2 linked regions of the Lytechinus pictus genome follow. Each later gene encodes a partner of the first gene's protein in a complex. Links are inferred from orthologs where the notes say so. Each region holds a gene or a part of one and is shown on either strand. Other genes may lie near its edges.

Region 1 (3,929 bases):
ATTAAGGACATACAAAATAATAGGCCTATGACATGCAGAATAAAGATGAATAAATCTCTCAATTTAAAACATTTTATGATCCCGTATAGGCCCTATCCCTCCAATCTCTCTGTAATTTTATTTTGTCTGAAACTTAGCAGATGGATATTTAATTCATATAGATATATATTCCATTCTTTTGATAAAAAATCTTATTTCAACATTTACATCTTCAATTAATTTCATCGCATTCAGTCACTTCTCTTACAAATCACCTTCCTCATTAATTTCTTTTTTCTTTTTTTAGCTTAATTTTCTCTCAATATACTTTCATCTATTCTCATTTTTTTCTATTTCATTATGATTATTTTGTCTATGCATGCCAACAATAAAACTTCAGAATGTCCGACCACGATCCTGAATAATATGCAATAATATTATGTAGCCTATCTGTGGAGAGAAAAAGAAAACACAGCTCGGTTTATAGGCCTACTCTGAATAAAATCATGATTGAGATAATTAATTATGAAACATGTATTCTTGACTATCGATTGATATTACAAAAAATATATAACTAGACTAAAGTAATCAAATCTACTGCAGAGTTTGTTTTATTGATCATCATTTTATTATTGCTTGGAATTCCGGGACCAGTTTCCTCCACTGCCTCGCCGACGTACCCCTGGGCCGAGAGTGCATGCCCGCTGTCCGTGCATACAAGCACACTTTGCACAGCAGCTGCACAGATCAAAATACGCACAGACAGTGCGCGAAAATGAAAGAAAATTGCACTTGTCTTCATAAAATCTGTGGTAATTCTTGCAGCTTTATACAGCACATCTATCTCTGCCACCCATGATTAAGAAGAAAAGTGATGTTAGACTCTGGAACAAATATGACGAGGCGTTTACTGGAAGTTAGCAAAATGTTGGCTGCCGGCGTCGATCGTATTTTGATACACTATGGAAATCGTACACTTTATTGTCGGCTGCTTGCGCTCGCATGGTCGCATCCGGACAACAGCGGCGCTATTGCTCCCTTTGCGATCCCATGATCCTTTGCGTGAATCTATTTGCGATAAGGTCTATGGGAAAAATTGAGAAAACAACAAAATCACTGGTGAGCTATTTTGACCATATTTTAATATTTTTAGAATATCATAACTTTGAAAATGTGTTTTGACCATTTTTCATCATCTTTCTATTCAAGTTCCCTTTGGAAGGATGTTGCAAAGTTTTGAGCGTATGAAATTATTTTCTGACGCGTACGATGCGCGCGTTCGGTAATACAACTACAAGGCCGTTCGGTAATATACAATCACTCACTATACTAGTAGTACGCCTATACCTACCTCAGGCGATGTTCGTGCAGGCTCCACTCCACTTCACTACCGCTACACTACGCTCCACCTACCCGAACATCGGGACAGTGAACTAGATCGGATATTCCGAGTCATAAAAGGTGGGATGGCAATCATGGTTATCGTAGAAATTAAAGAAAAAAATATAAAGAAGGATATGAATGACTTAATAATAATATCTTACTTTACACCCGTATTTCACTCCGTGTCCATCCTCCGGTTATCCTCAAAATTGGTGATTTTGGGCCAGTATCTTTTTCCTCACACATATTATTCACGGCCGATTTCAAAACATCGCATGCGATCGGTCGCTGATCGATCGCGATCGCATGCGATGTTTTGAAATCGGCCGTGAATAATACGTGTGAGGAAAAAGATACTGGCCCAAAATCACAAATTTTGAGGATAACCGGAGGATGGACACGGAGTGAAATACGGCACTTACGGGTGTAAAGTAAGATATTAAGTCATTCATATCCTTCTTTATATTTTTTTTCTTTAATTTTTACGATAACCATGATTGCCATCCCACCTTTTATGACTCGGAATATCCGATCTAGTTCACTGTCCCGATGTTCGGGTAGGTGGAGCGTAGTGTAGCGGTAGTGAAGTGGAGTGGAGCCTGCACGAACATCGCCTGAGCCTGAGGTAGCCTATACCATACAACACGTAAAAATATACATATGGGACCGTACATGAACAAATCTCTACTTACTCTTCCATATAAAACAGGATTTTCAAGGATATCTATGTCATAATGGATGCTTTTGAGTTCTTCTATATCCAAGAAATATACTGATGTCCCTGCCAACATGGTAATGTTGGTTAAAAACAACGCGAGTGCGATGTTTTCTATTCGCTTCAATCCCATCTTCTCGTCTCACGTAACGAGCTGAAAGTCCTCGGTTTACTTTATCACTGCATGCATGCTTGCACCGTACGCGTACCGCACCAAAGTTCGACTGCTATGATGATTTGCTTGCATGTGATTGGCTCGCGCTCGTTAGCTGTATACAGTGCGTTTCAAAAAAAAGGTAATCCAAATCTAGAGGGCTGATATTAGGATCATATTTAATTTTGTGAAATTATTCTGCATGGATATATATGAGAAACTCATCAGCTTTCAATTGATACCCTATTTGTATCATTTTGTGCCACGCATGACCAAATCAATCGCTTTTAAAGACAACAGGTGCAGAGACCATTTTTTCCAAGTTTTGGTAAAGTGGGTAAAATGTGAACTTGATAGAATAATATGTTTTCCAAAGTAATTTTTTGGAATGAAGTGTTACTTGAGGCATTTCTCTGAAATGATGAGTGAAAAGTGTATGTCTTATCATGGACCTGGTCTTATTTACCCACACCTTCAACATGTCATCCTCTCCTTTGAAAACAAAACCAGAAGCGTTGAAGGATATATTGGACAGCTCGTCTCACCAATGGCAATGCCGGATCATTGTCCAAAGCATCCACCTCATATCGAATTTTTATTTTATTTGTCTTCCAACTTTGAGTTCGAATACATGACAAACATACAAGTGTGTATGAAACAATAAGTACATGATAAAACATACAGGTATACATAAAACAGAGTATGCAGAAAACATTGTTTTTAAATACATTATACAGCTTAAGACAGAAAAGAAATAATTTTAAAGGAAGACGAGGAGACCCTGCAAGTCATCAAAATCGTGGGGAAGAGTTGCAAAAACCTTATTTTTAAGTGTCCCTAAGGGAAATAATCAAAGGGCGTGCGGTCAGGCGATCTTGGTGGCTTTTTAATGCCATGGTTGAGGGCAACAACGTAATGTCCAAAGAGTCTATATCACGAATGATGTTGGAACGATGGGCAGGAGCTCCGTCCTGAATCCACCAAAGATACCTGTACACTCCTCACAACTGTCCCTCAACAATATGTTGGTCCAAATGTGGTACGATCTCCTCGTTAATGGTGTGCAAGTACATTCACTTATTAACAATCCTTTGTAAGAAAAAGGGTCCAATCAAAAGATTTTTGCCAGCTCAGACATCGATGAAAGTATTTACATCAGCATCTGTCTTTTCATCAAGTTTTCAAAAACTTGGAAAAAGGGGTCTCTGCACCTTTTGTCTTCAACATCAATTGATTCGGTCATGCGTAGCGCAAATGGCATAAAATAAAATAAAAAGAATATAGGTAACTTTTGCTTAAATTTCCATTATTGAGGTAAAAATTACGCATTTTCATTATCCAAATATGCAGGCATCCGCAGGTCCTTAGGCATGGCCGTGTGACTGTAGTATTAGCGAGGATTCAAAAGATAGACCAATAGGACGCACAAAAGACAGATAGTCAGGTCCAGATTTTAAAAAATGTGCTCAGAAAAAGTGCTTAATAGGCATTTTGTGTTAATGCTTATTTATCGATTGTTTTAAGGTAATTCAGGGGTGCTGAATCCAAAAATGCTGTTTGCCAAACTTGATTTCGACGTTTTCATCCTCAAATCGGCAAAAAAAAACAAAATGGCGGCATTTTGAATGCAGTTTCCCATAGGCCTATTAAGCGATTTTTATTGGTGATTATATTTCAAAAATTGGGGTCTATGCCTTA
Region 2 (3,929 bases), on another chromosome or scaffold:
AGCTCAGCTTCCACAACTTTGACGTAGTTAGCACCGGAATGCTCCGACATCAACTCGCTGTCCCCGCTCCCTTCCAACTCCATCTGCTGCAGGAGGTCCATCCTGTGCTCGTAACCAGGAGCAACAATATATTGTCCATCCCACCAAGGTTTTGTCAGATGCCCTGCTTTTTTGTTCTCAAGTTCATCATGTTCAAACACTCCCTCCTCTGAACCATCTTCTTCTCTCGCCCTGATGATCATCTCTCTTTCCTGAAGCTTCTGTGCTACTGCGACACTATCTAATCTTGTACTTCCTGAAGCACTTTGGGATTCTTCATCAACTCTGGTTCCATTTCCTGAGGTACTCTGATTACTCTCATTGACCCCTCCTTTTAATCTCTGAGAGTGAGACCGAGTTTCACTTTCTATCCTGAGGTGTCCTGCATGAGGTTGTACAAAGTCTTCTACACCTATCGAATGAAGTCTATCCAATGTCTCTTGCACATCACTGTAATTGTTGAGGAGAGCCCCTGAATTGGGCATGGACAGCAAGGCTAGGCGAATAGATGGCCATTCGTCTCCAAACAGCGGCCGGTAGTTTTGGTCGAAATGCTTAAGGGCAACTTCTGTTGGATCATTTTTATGTTTTCCATATGACTGCACAAAAGAACAAAATAAGGTGATATACATTTACAGAGGGTATAATGTGCATTAATATCAAATATACTCATATCCATATTAGCAAGTTACTCAATACAAAAATAGAACAATTTACAAAGTACATGTAGAAGAAAAACATGTGAAACCAATTAACGATTATTGCCAGACATTTTTTTCAGCAAGTATCTAGGCTAAATTGTTGCAAGTATGAGAGAACTGGCCCTGCATGGAGCATATGTTGTGAAATTGAAAATATTAAAACTGTCTATTTCATCACATTTTTGTTAGACAAGTATTTTTCATAGTCTGCATTTAAACAAAAAAGAGAGAAATTCTGCAAATCTGCAACGTTTTTTCAATCTTGTTTTAAATTTAATTATTTGGGTAATATTATTGTGATTATCATAATTTGAATTCAACATTTCCAACAGCAAATAGATCTAACTTCTAAGTTAGATCTATATCAAACAAAATTAAGCAAGGATCTTACGACGTTACAGCTACATGACATAGATTTAACTCAACTTCTCAAGCGATGTTCGTGCAGGCTCCACTCCACTTCACTACCGCTACACTACGCTCCACCTACCCGTAGTGTAGCGGTAGTGAAGTGGAGTGGAGCCTACATGTAACTGCACGAACATCGCTTGCTGAGCTGAGATCTAGTCCACGTACCAGTTTGGCTTTTGTCTTTTTCCCTCTGTAGGTTATTTCTAATTCTTTGAACCGTCGCACTTGCAGGAATCTGGAAATTCGCCTGGGCACTTGTGACATCATAATGTAGAAACTATCTGCAGCAAACGTCGTAAAAACTCTAATATTACAAGTTCACATGAAACACTCTCTGCACGTGTTAGTAGAGGGATGGTTTGTTTACGTCGGCCCTTTAAACCAAATACTGAGCGATTTTCCAAGACATACATTGGTTGGCCAATGATGAATACTTCACAAAGTTCTGACCAATCAGAGAATGCGACACATTAGCACAACTTAATGTGGGAGTGCGAGGATTCAGCTGACCGTATCATATGAGAAAACGCCACGTCGCTTTGTGAATAGTCCGTTCTTTTGCCTTTGGAGCAAGATTATTGCAATTATTCGCTATTATACTCTGAGTCTGAGTCACCTTTTGTGAGATATCCCACCATGCAGTCTACATACTCGAGGAGGAGTCCAGGTGAGTGGTAATTAAAAATTATCAGACGTATTCATGTGCTCAGTCCCACCTAATTTCGTTCTGTGTCAGTGACAGTGAAAGTGTGACACTACTGTCAGTGTCATAATCATTTAGCAGTGATATCCAGTCTTGAGCACTCTGGGGCTACACCGCTATTCCAACGCGTGTTGGAAAAGTCGACGCCAGACGGGTATGTTTTGGCCTTGAATTTCCAGCAAATTAATCAAAATTACGGCCTAAATTTAGGTCTATGTTATCAATTATATACTAATTTCATAATTATAATGTAAAACGGGTACTCACGGGTTCTTTTCTTTCCAAATTTTGTGTTTTCATCGCCTCTTCTGGCCAACTCTTGCGATGGATTTTGTCGCCATAGGATCCTGTACGTGCAAATCCAGGGCGAGTTGTCACATGACGCTCGCGAGTCTCTAGGGGTAATTAGACAGCTGGCAGCCGTCTGTTTTGAGGAGTTTTTTAACATTTTGTTTTTTTTTATTTCTCCTCATACACAGACGGCTCGCTATCGTGCAGCCACCATTAGGGGACTTGCAATGCAAAATCCCCCCGTCGGGGCTCTTCAATTTTTGTCTTTAATGAAATTTTTTTTTGAAAATTAATGCGACCAAAATACAAATTAACATTCCCTCTTGGCATTTATTGCCAAGAAACGGAGAAAAATCAAGTTAAAAGGAACAAAAACAGTGACTTACCTCGGCTGTCGCGCAAATTCACTTCCCTGTTTTATCCGATCTTAAGTACATAAACATATGGCCATTGAGTCCCCTGTACAGATCGCGCTAGAACTTCGGTCTCTGTATTTGGTGAGTGAAGCCAACGGAGTTCAGCTGAACAACCAACATAACAGAGACAGAAGCTTTTGGTCTAGGGGTAATGGCCTTTAATCAAGGCGTTCTTTTTGCTATAATTTTATAATGACGCTTAAATATCGAAATCAATGTAGACGAGTCTGTGCAGGGGCATAACAGGGGTATATAAGAGGGGGCATAGTACATGTCGCATGTGGAAGATAAAAGTTACGTAATGTAAGTCCCGAGCACTAGCGTACCTAGGGGGGGGGCAGTCTGCCCCCCCCCCCCCCCCCCCCGATGAGTCACAAACCCATGCAAATTACATATCTCTGCCCCCCGGCCCCCCTGACGAGCTTGAAAACCTATTTTGCCCCCCCCCGACGAGCTTGAATACCTATTTTGCCCCCCCTGGCGAGCTTGAAGACTTTTTTTTTGCTTGTCAAATTTTTTCTGGTACGATTGAAGACCTTTTTCATTGAAGAGCCTTTTTTTCCTTTTTTTTTGCTTGTCAAATTTTTTGGCGGCCGATTTTGCCCCCCTGTGGAAAATCCTAGGTACGCCATGCACTGCCCGCGCTACATGTATGTTGGTAGCCCTGGGACCTCTGGATATTAACTAATCCAATTTAATTACAGATGGCAGATTTTTTTATTATCTGAGTAGCCCCCCCCCCCGGATTATTTGTTCTCACATTACTTTCCTTTTTAAATTTCCTTTCGTTCTTTCTTTCATTTTTCTTTCTTTCTTCCTTCCGTTGCTCCTATGTTTTTTTTTCAGGTGAAATCCACTCGGGGGATGGCCAGCCATGCCCCCATCTGTTTATGCCTCTGAGATGTAGGCTATACTCATGATCTTAATCTTCGATTTTCCAAAGTAGGGGGGTGCAATTTCTCAAGTAAAATTTGACAACCCCCCCAAAAAGGTTATCCCAGAAAAATTGTCATTTTGTCTCGCGTAAGATTTGACAAGTAAAAAGAAAAGATGGTTACTAAAAATAAAAGACTCATTTTGTCCGTGTAATATTTGGCAAGCCTCCCCCCCCCCCAAGTTTAACATATCGGAGGCGCGATGGCTCAGTCGGTAGAGCAGGGGTTTCGGATTCCGGTGACCCGGGTTCGATTCCCAAGTGGTGCGCTAGTGCCCTTAAGGCTTATCCTCATTACCAGGTCCCTCGGAGAGGACCTTAAGCCGTTGGTCCCCTGGTTGCTTGCTCACAGGCATTCGTGCTTTTTTAGCAGTCAGGTAAAAAATCTCGATATAACATAACATTGAAAAAAAGTGAAGGTCATTTTGTCCTGC

Evidence for each region.
Region 2: protein OS-9-like (region 1) and ubiquitin-conjugating enzyme E2 J1-like share a complex: the UniProt entries of both Homo sapiens proteins name them as parts of the HRD1 complex. The link is inferred for Lytechinus pictus from reciprocal best matches to the Homo sapiens genes OS9 and UBE2J1.

The regions. Positions count from the first base shown.
Region 1 is NC_087247.1:60,361,603-60,365,531, reverse strand, and holds the start of protein OS-9-like, read right to left. Parts: upstream 2,306-3,929; 5' UTR 2,211-2,305; coding exon 2,055-2,210; intron 1-2,054. UniProt on the Homo sapiens protein: Lectin component of the HRD1 complex, which functions in endoplasmic reticulum (ER) quality control and ER-associated degradation (ERAD).
Region 2 is NC_087248.1:15,066,327-15,070,255, reverse strand, and holds the start of ubiquitin-conjugating enzyme E2 J1-like, read left to right. Parts: upstream 1-1,626; 5' UTR 1,627-1,787; coding exon 1,788-1,818; intron 1,819-3,929. Other genes in the region: 5-methylcytosine rRNA methyltransferase NSUN4-like, read right to left, coding at 1-638, 1,317-1,418. UniProt on the Homo sapiens protein: Catalyzes the covalent attachment of ubiquitin to other proteins. Functions in the selective degradation of misfolded membrane proteins from the endoplasmic reticulum (ERAD) and is essential for cells to recover from ER stress.